Linked DNA regions of Drosophila melanogaster. The protein of the gene in region 2 purifies or fractionates together with the protein of the main gene of each other region. This does not show direct contact. Each region holds a gene or a part of one and is shown on either strand. Other genes may lie near its edges.

Region 1 (7,634 bases), on a different chromosome or scaffold from region 2:
GGCTTTCCAACTCAGCGTCCGATCAAGGTGAACTCCGAGGTAGCAATCGGATGAGACATAGTCAATTGTATTTCCGTCGAAGAGAAGACCTAGGCAGGTTTGAGGTCGCAGGGTAAATGTGACACAGGCCGACTTAGTGCAGTTAATGGTTATGTTCCATTTGAAAGTCCATCGATCGATTGCATGCAGCCATTCCTGAACTGCATTGGAAGCGAATTGCAAGGATGAGGGCGACGCAAGCATGGTGTCATCAGTAGGTACGTGGCCAGGATCAGCTGAGCAGGGGACGACTCATCGGTGTTGTTGACGGGTGTTGCATGTCAGCAGTGTACAGGGTTTGTGAAACCACTTCGCGGATTTCACCCAGGGAAACGCGGCGGTACAATACTTCAGTGTATGTCGTTTTATTCAAAATAAATGTATAATTTAAAAGCTGTCTCAATCAAGAGCATTGGGCAACATTGGACAAATACTCACTCTCATCAAGTATGAGCACAAGAAATCAAAATGCACTTTACAATTTTATATTCAATACATGTACTTATGTCTTCATGTTTTTAAAAATCAAGTAATTATACCACCCATTTAGCTTAATCTAGTTTACGACAAAAATGTAATTCACTGGTAAGCATAATTAATATTTGATACCCAATCTGCCACTGAAATCCTCTTCTGTGGAAGCGTTTTCAAAAAAACCAAACCCACAGTGTGTCGCAAAATACACGGAAAAAATTAATCAGCATTACCAAGGAATCCTGCGTTTAGATTATTCGGATAATCTTATCGGCTCTTGCAGTTCAAAATTATTCGTTGTTGAAAACGGCTCCGGCCCACCTAAAAAATCATAAGTAAGAGCTGTCCCAAATACAAACTAAATTGGGAAATTCTTGTTTAATATGCCTCTTCACTTTGACAGAAAAGGAATTCTTAAAGTTGCGCCATTGACGTCAGGGTCGCAATCTTCTGATTGCTGTCCGTTAAGAGAGGCATAGGTGTGTTGTCGTCGGCAGTTGGAGTCTGCGGTTGGAGTTGGTGTCTTAAGTGGTGTCGCTTAAAGTTGCGCCATTGACGTCAGGGTCGCAATCTTCCGATTGCTGTCCGTTAAGAGAGGCATAGGTGTGTTGTCGTCGGCAGTTGGAGTCTGCGGTTGGAGTTGGTGTCTTAAGTGGTGTCGCTTAAAGTTGCGCCATTGACGTCAGGGTCGCAATCTTCCGATTGCTGTCCGTTAAGAGAGGCATAGGTGTGTTGTCGTCGGCAGTTGGAGTCTGCGGTTGGAGTTGGTGTCTTAAGTGGTGTCGCTTAAAGTTGCGCCATTGACGTCAGGGTCGCAATCTTCTGATTGCTGTCCGTTAAGAGAGGCATAGGTGTGTTGTCGTCGGCAGTTGGAGTCTGCGGTTGGAGTTGGTGTCTTAAGTGGTGTCGCTTAAAGTTGCGCAATTGACGTCAGGGTCGCAATCTTCCGATTGCTGTCCGTTAAGAGAGGCATAGGTGTGTTGTCGTCTGCAGTTGGAGTCTGCGGTTGGAGTTGGTGTCTTAAGTGGTGTCGCTTAAAGTTGCGCCATTGACGTCAGGGTCGCAATCTTCTGATTGCTGTCCGTTAAGAGAGGCATAGGTGTGTTGTCGTCTGCAGTTGGAGTCTGCGGTTGGAGTTGGTGTCTTAAGTGGTGTCGCTTAAAGTTGCGCAATTGACGTCAGGGTCGCAATCTTCTGATTGCTGTCCGTTAAGAGTGTCCGTTATGTGTGTTGTCGTCGGCAGTTGGAGTCTGCGGTTGGAGTTGGTGTCTTAAGTGGTGTCGCTGTAGGTGAAGTTGGTGCCGAACAGAGAGTTGCACACTTTCACGGCCACGTTGCGACGGGCGATTTTCTTTGATCTGCCGTTGGCGTGGAACTCCTGGTTGTCCACCATGATTCCCAGATGCTGCATGCCGTTGGTCTTGTCGCCAGATGACCCGTAGTCCACGTAGTTGAGTCCCGGACGCATCTGCAGAGGAATTGATTACTGACACTGTACATAGTAAGGTAGTAAGGTGGGCTGGCCTACAATGCAAAGAATGGTCGCCGGGTGCATGGTCTCCCAGCCAGAGGGTAGCTCGGTGCGCACTGGCGGCTTCTTTGGCTCCTTCGGCACGGGGGGAACTGGAGTTCCGGCATCCCCTCCCGCCTGTTGGGCAGCATTGGCCGAAGGGTGCATCTCGGGCACGACATAGCCCTCCCGTTCCCACTCCGCGAACAGCTTGTAGATGGCAAACGAGGCCAGATTCAACATGGGCAGATCATCATCCGGTGCATCGGCCTCATCCTCGTTGATATCCATTGGCTCCGAACCCATCTCCACCTGGTGAATACGGGGCGGCTTGGGGGTCATTTTTGCAATAATAAAATCGCGCCAAGCCTTCTCGCAGGCCGCGTTCTTGGCTGTCATTTTCGAGGTACCCTTGCCCTCGTACTGATTCGAGTTGACAGTGACAACGGCCGTGAATCCCCCGTCGGTATTGCTGTCGATGGTGAAATCGCTGATGGTCACGCCCTTCACCTCGTTGAGGGCCATCAGAGCGTTCTTGGGGAGCATGGACTTGCGCAGCTGGCGGTTCTGTCGCAACTTCTTGTCCCGAGTGCGTTCTACGATAGAGTTAATAGACATATATACAAGAATATATAAAAATGAAATTTGAAGTTGTAAGTACAGCTGTGTTCATAAAAATAGCAGTGCGAGGGAAACTAAGTAATACAAATTTTTCCATGTCCCTTTTCGGAATCGACTATTTGTTCCACTTGTTAGTGTAAAATGGAATGTGTAGATAGGAATAAAAAAAAAAGAAAATTCCCTTAGCTTTACATGCCATCCTTTTTTATTTTTTATTTTTCATTTTCATTCTTGAGTAAAATCACAACTTTTAGGCTGTTCATAAGAATAGCAGTGTCTGGTTTTGACCAACGTAAAGTCCCGAAATTATCAATATTTTCTAAAAAGTGAGTTCGGTTAAGTTAATTCGTATATTTAAAAGGGCAATAAATTAAAAAAAAAAATAAAAAAAAAATATATTTTAGTGGCTAAAGGACAGCACTGCTCCCAGGAGAAAAGAATGTTAATTCTTAAGCTAAAAAAGAAAGGAAAAACATATAAGGACATTCAAAAAACCATACCAAACGTAAAACCACAGATATAGAGGATCGACGCATAGTTCGTTAAAACAAAGTCTATTCTTTTGCATACTCTAGGGACATGAAGTCTGAGCTGAACTTGGGAATCAGTGACGTTGCAATTCGGAGACGACTACTTAATCAAAATTTAAGTGCGAAGAGCCCACGAAAGGTGCCCCTACTTAGCCAAAGGCATATTCAGACAAGGATAAACTTCGCTATGGGCTAGTTTTTTTTACAATGGTATGAGTCCATAAAATATGATTTTTGGTATTATAGACCAAAAGCGCATATGTAAATATTCTTAGTGATGTCTTACTGTCATATTCTTAATATAATATGCCCTTAAAATGGTCATTCCAAAAGGATAATAATCCGAAACGTAGAAGCAAATCGGCTAGGTTCACCCAAAATAGAATAGATGCCGAGGACAGCACCATCTTCCGATTTAAACTCGATTGAAACCCTGTGGGGGGACATTAAACAATATGTGTCGAAGAACTGCCCGACGCCTAAGGCTCAGATTTGACAAGTTGTGCAGGATGCATGGTCGAAATTCCCCCCAAGCGTTGCCAGGACCTAGTGGACACCATGCCGCATGGGTGTAAGGCTGTGCTAGCTAACAAAGGCTATCCAACCAAGTGTTATGCCGTAATTAACATATTAAAAAGAAAAAGAATTTCTGCCTATTATGTTGTTTTAATCTACACTTTTGAAACTATTGAAGGAATAAATGTGAAACATGTTTTGAATTGTTCAAAATTAAATACCTAATGATATTATAAAAAAAATGGACCAATAAAACTATAAAACATAGGAATTTTTTATCTTAAACTCGCAACACAACTGTAAGTAATTTCCGGTCTGCCCTTCCATAAGAAACCTAGTGCTTTGTGTGAGCGTGTGAAAATTCTGGGAAATCTGATCACCAAAGGTTTCCTCGCTTACCAGACGACTTCTTGCGCTTTTGGAAGATTTTTTTAAATGGGATCTTGCCCCCGATGCCGCTGGCACTGGTACTGGCACTGGTATTGTCCTCTATATTGTCGACGGACGGTTCATCGTTGACAGAGATCGGCTCCTCCTTGATGATAACTGGCATGGGCAGTTTGGAGGCAATGGCGTCCGCATCCGGATTATTCTGCTGGTCGGACGAGTTGGCCAGTTGAACGGGGGCAGGAGCCCCTGGCGACTGAACAGCCAAAAATGCGTCCTGTGGCGATTGAACAGCCACCGGGGAGGCCGATGTCGGATATAAAGCCACCGGAGAAGACTGCTGCTCCTGGACATTGGCGGCCTGCAACGGCATTTGGATCAAAGGCTTGACGGTGGCATTGGGATTCTGCGTTTGCGAAAGAGTTTCATTAGTCGATTAGTTAGCGAAGGCAACGGGTTCCGCCTGGCTCGCCAGGCTACCCTAGACAAAATCACTTGCAGCGGACTGGTCCAGTGGGTCGACAAAAAAGCGACTCGCTGGCCAACGGAAACCATCAAGTCGTCAAGTTACCCGGAACCGTCAGGGTGGTCGGCTGGTCTACTTAAAACCATAGTTCCGGAACTAGCCATGGCCATTCCTGCGACCCAAGTGCCCCGAAACGAAGCTCTGCACCAACGGAGCCAACTGCCCAGCGACTGTGGATCTCCGTTTATCGGATCCAGCCGAGGACTCCGGGACCAGGTAGTCTATGCTAATCTATGAAAATCAGGTGTACTGCACTATTAGGGTAACCAATGTCTCTTTAATTCAATGGGCATAAAAACCGCAAAGTCCGGTTAACAAATAAATTCAGTCTCATGGTGAGTTAACTTTTCGCTAATGTATTCTGTTTGCAGAGAGGTTCGAGAAAATCTAATTCTAATTCTAATAGAATTTTCTCCGATATGCAAAAATAGAGTAAAATAATTGACTATCGACCTATACGTTTCACAATTCTGTCTATTTTAGCATGAAACAATAGTTATGGGGATCCTTCGGTCATCGGCTGAGTTCATGGTCGCCGGCTCGTTTCGGGCACTTTCGGTGGAGTGAATGGGCATTGCTATCTGACCCAAAACTAATAATTTTAGTTACAGTTTCGGGTGAATGCATTTTCAGTAGCCATAAAAGTTAGCGATAACCGCAAGTCCAGCGTGAAACTATAGCAGTGCTGGCCATATCTAGTTGATCGAAAGCACGAACGGAGTGGAATGAGTGCAATGCAAATGGGTGGGTTACGAATGTAAGGGGAGAGGGGAAGGTGGTGGATGTCTGGGGGGTGCATTGTGAATGCTGGTGGAATTCGGACAACGGTCTGCACTTTCGATTAACCCGCTTTTAGTGGCTATTGCAAATGAGTTCACAATTGTGGTGAATTGTGAATGAACACTTTCACTTTGTGCGCTGCAAATTATAGAAATAAAAACGAAAACTTTGTTATTTCACAAATCAAATATGGATGATTCCAACAATGGTTTTTGTTTTCGTGATGCATTTTCACTCGGAATACATATCTTCGTGACGTCACAGGGAATTCTTAACTCACACTCCTGCACACACTTGCAAAAAAAATTAAGATTCTTACGTAAATGCCTCCAAAGACAAATGGCTTGTTGTTTCCAGCAAATGCACGACGATTTCGCTTCATCTTGATTTTTTTTGTAATTTAATTTTTCACTTTTGTAATTCGCTTTTTCGCTTTTGTAATTTAATTTTTCACTGCTCAGGTCACAGAAAGAATCGTACTGCACTGAAGTAAAAAACTTAAGTAGGGATGTCAAAATATATGTAAATATATCGATATTTTTCACATATTTCGAAAATCGTTTTTAGTATTAAATATATTATAGACATTTCACACTGGCCATAGTAATATAAGCAAAGTGATGGAAAGACGGCGGAAAAAAAAGAGCAGACCAAAGATTTTATTGTGAAATAATTAAAAGCATGCTAAAAATAGCACGACGATGCTCTTTGGAAGTGCTTAAAAGTTATTGCGAAAATTTAGAATTGAAACAGTACTTCTGTATATCGCGAGAATATTATAGCTGTTAAATTGTGTGCATGGTAATTCCCTACATTTTTGTTTGACTGACTGACATTCAAATGTATTAAGAAAATAGTATAGAACTCGAACCATAAGCGCATGACTTTTCATGACTTGCAAACACAATTTGCCTGTCTGCAGCGTGGGCAAAATCTATAACGTCAACAAAAAACAGGAAATGTTTTCACACTGTGTTAACAAAAGTTTTGCGTTTCCTCAACTACAGCAATAGGAAAGTATGCGACTTTGTAAAAATGAACACCAAATCAACTGAATTAACTATCTACATTGGGATTAATAGGTGTGTTTTTCATATTATGCATATATTAAAAAAATACTAATGCTCAAAGTAAGGTAAGATACCTGTTACTTAGATAGTGGGAGTGCGACGGAAAATTTTCGACATTATTTTTGCATATCTATAGAAAGTTGCAAGACAAAAATTTTATTTAAAAAAATGAATATTTTTCAAAAGTGTGGGAATGACAGTTTTGGATAAACGAAAAATAGAATAGGTGTTCACACTGTGTTCACAAGAGTTTTGCGTTTCCTCAACCACATCAATAGGAATGCAAGCGAACTTATGAAAATTAACTATCTGTGTTGGGATTAATAGGTCAGTTTATCATATTTTGCAAATATATTTGCTATATATTTATATATTAATCGAGGTTTTTATTCTTTTACGAATATTTAAGCAGTGTCAAACTGCGCTGCATAGGCATACAGGCATAGTCCCTTAAGGTTCGCGAGGTTTCAAAGGTCACTGATTGGGCAGACGGAAAAAAGAATATGGGACAGCTCGACTCGTCTTGTGATCCTGGACTTACAGGGAACTCAATACACACATATACCAACCCACTTGCAGAAAATCAAAATCAAAATCAGAGTACGACTTACCGCGTATTTTGTAACTTTTATATTGTAATTGTAATTTAATGTTTCGCTGCTTAAGTCACAAAACTATTGACGAAAACAAATCAGGATCAAATAAAAACCACAAGGTAACCATATTTCTATGTTTAAATTGGAATATCTGAAATAAAGTGGTCCAATATTTTTAACTGAGGTCCACCCAAATAAAACGCCAAATAAAATACCTAATACTGTCGCAAAAGTTTTCTTCACTGCGGTACAAGAGCATGACCGAAATCAATATACGGTGTCCACGAATAGGAAAATCGTACACTGACAATAATCTAGTGTCAAATTTGTATAGCACCTATTAAAACAACGTTCTCAACGAGAAAACTTAAAGATAACATCTTAAATATAATTGTTTAGTCGCGTTTCCACATATGCACATACGCACATGTGCCAGTTTGAATTTGAAAATGAAATATGTAGAAACCAATTTTTAAACAAAAAGACATGAAAATACATGAATTTTGTTTTGTGTATATCAGAAGACTTGATTTGTGGGTTCCTTTCGTGAGTCTTCTTTTGATTTCTCTCAGTTGCTTTATGACG
Region 2 (5,485 bases):
AATCCATCCAAAAACCATAACTATACGGTATATAGTATACATATACACATATATGTACACTTTTACTTTGTTGTCAAATTTTCAGTGTATAATACTTCAGGTTTCAATGTCCGCTTATAGATTGAGTTGCATCGGGAACGCGGAATGGGGACCCCATACCTCCAATCGTTCCAGCTCACTATTCAACTCGGAGGCCATCGAACAGTTGCGCGATAAGTGGACCCACTTCTTTTTTAACCTGCCAAAGGCGCCTCTCGAATTGCAGCTGGCCAAAGCCCGAGCGAATCGTGCACTCGAGCTGGTCAGGAGCAAGGAGAAGGCTGCTTTGGAACGGACCGAATCCTCGCCAAGAAGTAAGTGCCGTCCACTCACTGCTCTGCACAACTCGCCGCGTACCACGAATCGAATGAAGCTGATCATGGAGACTCGCGTGCGTCCAGCGATCGTCAAAAAGTCAAAGTCGGAGTACAATCTATGTCCCAGTTGTGGGCTTGTCAAGGACTCGATTCTCAATCACCAGCACGCCGAGCAGCGACTGAAGAAGCTACTGGCACAGCATCCCAGTTTGCTGCCAAAACGACAGCATAGAAGGTCAAACTATTTGCGTATGCTATAACTAGATAAATTGCAATTTTTCTTCCAAGAATGCCAGCCATTTGTGTCGTCAAATATATTTAGTTGTGGGTAATAAGGAGGCAGAGTGTGACTATCTTTCCAGTAGCGTGCCGCGCTGCTTCTTCTGCGGCGGAGGTGCGTCCTCTGTCTTGGTTTTGATGCCCACATCGCTCAATTTTCCGCCTTTGCGCTGCAGTTGCTTCTCGATAATCCTTGCGTTGTTCGCATAGCTGTCTGCGATCTCGCGCTGTTTGAATGAACAAAAAAAATGGTTAGTTTGAAAGAGTTGTAGGTTTGTTCGTAGATGATGCAATGATAGATTGGATTTCCTGCACCATTTACAAACCAACTTTAGCTGACAAACTTACCGCCTCGATTTCATCCTCCTCCTCGTCGATGGTAGACACCGTGACCGAGCTGAACTTGCCCATGTTCTTCGTGTGTCTGGTGACGACGACCTTCTTGCCACTGGCATCCACAATACCCGAATCGTCTGGACCGGCGGAAGTCGCTGGCTTGGCAGCCGGTGCCTTGAAACTGCCCTTGATCTCCGAATTCAGCAGCTGTGTGAGAGGACTCTCACCCTTGTTGCGGATTAGGGCATTGGACATGACGAAGGTTACGTGGGAGTCGGGACTGTGGCGATAGTAAAGCGGCAGACTGCAGCTTCGGCACTGAAGGTTAAAGGAAAACATTAGGTGAACTAATGACGGGTAAGGAGTGGAAGTCAGCTACTCACCTTGTAGCGGTACTGCTTCTCGATCCCATTGCCCCTGCTCTTGCGTTTGATGTAGACCATCCTCGGTGTGGGATTGTGGGTGAGTTTGTTGGCATGGTCGTTGGCGTTTATCACACGGGCGTTGTCCACCTCTCGTAGCGGCAACTGTTCGAGGGTGCAATCTGTAGGATAGGCAAACATGATGTACTATGCTTTCAGTTAGTTGGCTCCAGTAATCTTACCCAGAATCAGAGCCATCTTGTTGCACAGACAGTAGTAAATGTTTAGCGGCTTTTCCTCGTTGTACTCCTCCTGATCCTTGGTATCGGAGCAGACGATACTGCGCGACACTACTTTGGGCATGGTTATTTGTGGGTTTCGGACTTATGAAACTTATAAAATTAAAGTAATTTCCTATTTCATTAAACACCGCAAGTAAATAAATAAACAGTGAGACCAGAGTGTGCAAGCAAAAGGTAAACAATGCAACACGCCAATCGATATTGCTATTCGATTACCGAACTTATCGGTTCGCACATTTGCGAATATAAACAAAAATGTGTGATAACAAAAAACCGACTGTTAAGGAAATTGCGGAACTTTGTTTAAAAAAATTCGAGTCCTTGCCAAAAACAGGAAAGCCCACAGCCAATCAATGGACAATTTTGGCGGGAATCGTGGAGTTCAACCGGAACACGGAAGCATGTCAACTAGTTTCGCTTGGATGCGGAACAAAGTGCATTGGAGAATCCAAACTTTGTCCCAATGGCCTCATCCTGAATGATTCCCATGCCGAGGTGCTGGCACGTCGTGGATTTCTTCGCTTTCTATACCAGGAGCTCAAGCAGGATAGAATCTTTCATTGGAACAGCACGCTAAGTACGTACGACATGGATGAGCACGTGGAGTTCCACTTTCTGAGCACACAAACGCCTTGTGGGGATGCCTGCATCCTTGAGGAAGAGCAACCAGCGGCGCGGGCCAAACGCCAGCGGCTGGATGAGGATTCCGAGATGGTCTATACGGGTGCCAAACTAATAAGTGACCTTAGCGATGATCCAATGTTGCAGACGCCAGGAGCTCTGCGAACGAAGCCCGGACGTGGAGAGCGCACTCTATCCATGTCCTGCAGTGATAAGATAGCGCGATGGAATGTCATAGGCGTGCAGGGGGCACTACTGGATGTATTGATCTCCAAACCCATCTACTTTAGCAGCCTGAACTTTTGCTGTGACGATGCGCAGCTGGAATCTTTGGAACGTGCCATCTTTAAACGTTTCGATTGTAGGACATTTAAGCACACGCGCTTCCAGCCTCAAAGGCCACAGATAAACATTGATCCTGGCATAAGATTTGAATTTTCCCAACGCTCCGACTGGCAGCCATCCCCCAATGGCCTGATTTGGTCCCAGGTCCCAGAAGAATTAAGGTAAGGGTCCTTTTAGCTAGACAGTTTCAGATCTAAACATATATTCCTAACACGCAGGCCCTATGAAATTTCCGTAAATGGAAAGCGTCAAGGAGTAACTAAGAAAAAGATGAAAACTTCACAAGCTGCACTGGCGATCAGCAAGTACAAGCTGTTCCTTACATTTCTAGAGTTGGTAAAGTTCAATCCGAAGCTAAGTGAAATGTTCGATCAACAGCTTTCCGATCCTGAGCGTATCGCCTATGCTTCCTGTAAAGACTTGGCCAGAGATTACCAGTTTGCCTGGCGGGAAATCAAAGAGAAATACTTTCTCCAATGGACCAAAAAACCACACGAGTTGCTAGACTTTAATCCAATGTCAAATAAATGACACTTCGTGCCAGTGAAACGAGGATAAGATGCAGACCAAGCAAGTATTTTATTGCTAAAGTTGGGATGAAGTGGAACTTCTGGTCTAAGCTCCTTCAATTGCTTTCTTGAAAATGTGTAGTTGCTGAAAATGTCCTTATCAGAGATGAAATAACTTCGGATTATAGCTTCCCTTTAAAGTAACTATTTCCACAGAATTGAAAGTCAGTTAGGTTATCATATGCAACATCTAAGCGTGTTATATTTAGTTTATAATACCATAATAACATAAATCTAATTGTCATTTTGCAAACGTTTAACAGACAAACAAACGAACAGGCGTACATGTACAATTAAGGTTACAGCTAAGCATCCACTGATGCGAATACGGATACGGATGCACATATAGGAGGTATGCTCTTGCTGGGCGTACGAACTAAAGACGAGAATTGAACAATGGAGATGTGCCGGTCCAGCTCGTGGCGTACGGATGTGATGTGTGGGTGCGAAAAGCTAATCATACGACACTCGAATCCGTTGACTATCCAAGGACTTAGTTGTCCAACATCCACCGACTTAGTGGCCCCCGATCTCGCGCAGCTCACGCTTGCCCAGCGGCAGCGGAGGACGGAAGTTGTTGATGACCTTGCCGTTGAACTCGTTGCAGGGGCACTCCTCCTTCACGTCGTAGGCATTGAGATTGCGCATGGCGTTCAGCTGGTCGTCGGACACTTCGATGGGCGTCTTGAACACGATCCAGATGACCGACTCCGAGCACGGTGGAGTGGTCAGGGAACCCTCATAGGTCCAATAGGTGTGCACATCGGGCAGCAGCTGGCCGGGATCACAGCCCTGGGGGAGGGTGACGCGATCGCCCTTGTGCAGCACGAACTGCAGCAGGCTGGTCACCTTGTCCAGTTCGGCATGGTGATTGCCAGCCTTAAGGAACACACCCAGCACGGCCAGGCCGTCGGGAGCGGCAGCCGCCTCGCCAAACGACTTGTACTTCGTGGTGTTCCAGTGAACCAAATGCAGCTCGCCGGAATAGGACACGCCGTCGACGGTGTGCTCCGATCCCTTGGAGTCCGTGCAGCCCCAGTGGCAGTGGAACTGCTCCAGCTTAAAGATCTGATCGCCCAGCGGTCCTCCAGTCAGCTCGGAGTCGGCGCCGTTCACATCCACGCGCCAGCAATAGCCTAGATTAACAAATGGTAAGGATTAATATTTCAGTAGAATACAGTACGTTAACTTTGAATTTCTTACCAGGATTGACCAGGCTTTTGGTGTGCTCCGGCACATACTTCCACTTGAGCGGAGCTACATTCAGTTCGCTGCCCTTCTTGGCGCTGGAGGGTGTGATATCCACGGGCGACTGACGATGTCCCGACGCCTGTGGGTACTCCTTGGCCCAGTGGGCAGGTCCTGAAATAGGAACATTGAATGGGGCGGGTAAGTAAACGTGCGGCAAAGTCATTAGGTATTTGCTTTCCCCGAATTTACCAACTTAACTAAGTGCTAATTCGCTGTGTCGATAAGGAACAATAAATCAACTAAAATCAATTCATTGGAGTACTCCATTGGGGTTTATTAAAAACTCATTAGGCTGGTCAGGAAATTGATTAATGTCCGAAAAAATAGAAGCTAATAAATGTGGAAGGAATTGAAGAATTTCGTTTAATCCATTAATTCGATAATTAGGGCGACTATTATATGGTACTAGTAATTTCAGAAGACAGCGAAAATCATTTCAAATTCATTTATTCCTACAATTTGCTGTTAAATTCAAATTATTTCTATTATAAAAACATGAAAGATTGTATATATTTCAACTAGAATCTGGACTTTGAAGCTAATAAATGGGAATAAAAATGAATCAAAGACTTAATATTTTTATGGCTGCTTATACTCGCGATTACCGAAGCATTAAGTAAGATGCTTATTTATGAACATGTCGCCAGAGTTGACAATCGTTTGCCCAACTGGCAGTCATAATAATATTTGCATAGACCTTTTATCTGACCAACCGGCTGAGGCAATACAAGTATTTGCTGTTCCCCTGTTTGCTGCATTTTGTTGCGATTTATGTGCGTGTATGTGGATTCTTCTTTTTAATTACTGGTGGCGCAAACATTGACACAGAGAACCGCGTCACGTGCCAGTAGAATCACTCGGAAGACCGCAGACCCGAGTCATGTGATAGGATCGCTGCAGATAAACCGCAAAAGTTTATGGGAATTGGAATCAGAATATGTATAATATATGATTGTTTGCCTGAATCGGAGCAAATATTGAACCATTTGCCGTTGGTAATGGTACCCAGAAATCGGCAGGGGTTTTCTTATCGAACGGGCAAAGCCTCGTTTGTCATTTGATAG

Evidence for each region.
Region 1: the proteins of Adat1 (region 2) and DIP1 purify together in Drosophila melanogaster (affinity purification with western blotting, with the first as the bait; one study listed by BioGRID). This does not show direct contact.

The regions. Positions count from the first base shown.
Region 1 is NC_004354.4:21,624,272-21,631,905, forward strand, and holds DIP1 (DISCO interacting protein 1), read right to left. Parts: upstream 5,878-7,634; 5' UTR 5,766-5,877; coding exon 5,703-5,765; exon of another isoform or gene 4,633-5,702; coding exon of another isoform or gene 4,573-4,632; exon of another isoform or gene 4,484-4,572; coding exon 4,090-4,483; intron 2,620-4,089; coding exon 2,042-2,619; intron 1,982-2,041; coding exon 1,784-1,981; 3' UTR 525-1,783; downstream 1-524.
Region 2 is NT_033779.5:13,807,856-13,813,340, reverse strand, and holds Adat1 (adenosine deaminase, tRNA-specific 1), read left to right. Parts: upstream 1-1,866; 5' UTR 1,867-1,890; coding exon 1,891-2,762; intron 2,763-2,819; coding exon 2,820-3,132; 3' UTR 3,133-3,686; coding exon of another isoform or gene 3,687-4,306; 3' UTR 4,307-4,321; intron 4,322-4,373; coding exon of another isoform or gene 4,374-4,532; 3' UTR 4,533-4,981; downstream 4,982-5,485. Other genes in the region: CG16888 (uncharacterized protein), read left to right, coding at 107-616; CG16865 (uncharacterized protein), read right to left, coding at 707-862, 984-1,289, 1,355-1,515, 1,576-1,696; CAH1 (carbonic anhydrase 1), read right to left, coding at 3,687-4,306, 4,374-4,532. UniProt on the Drosophila melanogaster protein: Specifically deaminates adenosine-37 to inosine in tRNA-Ala.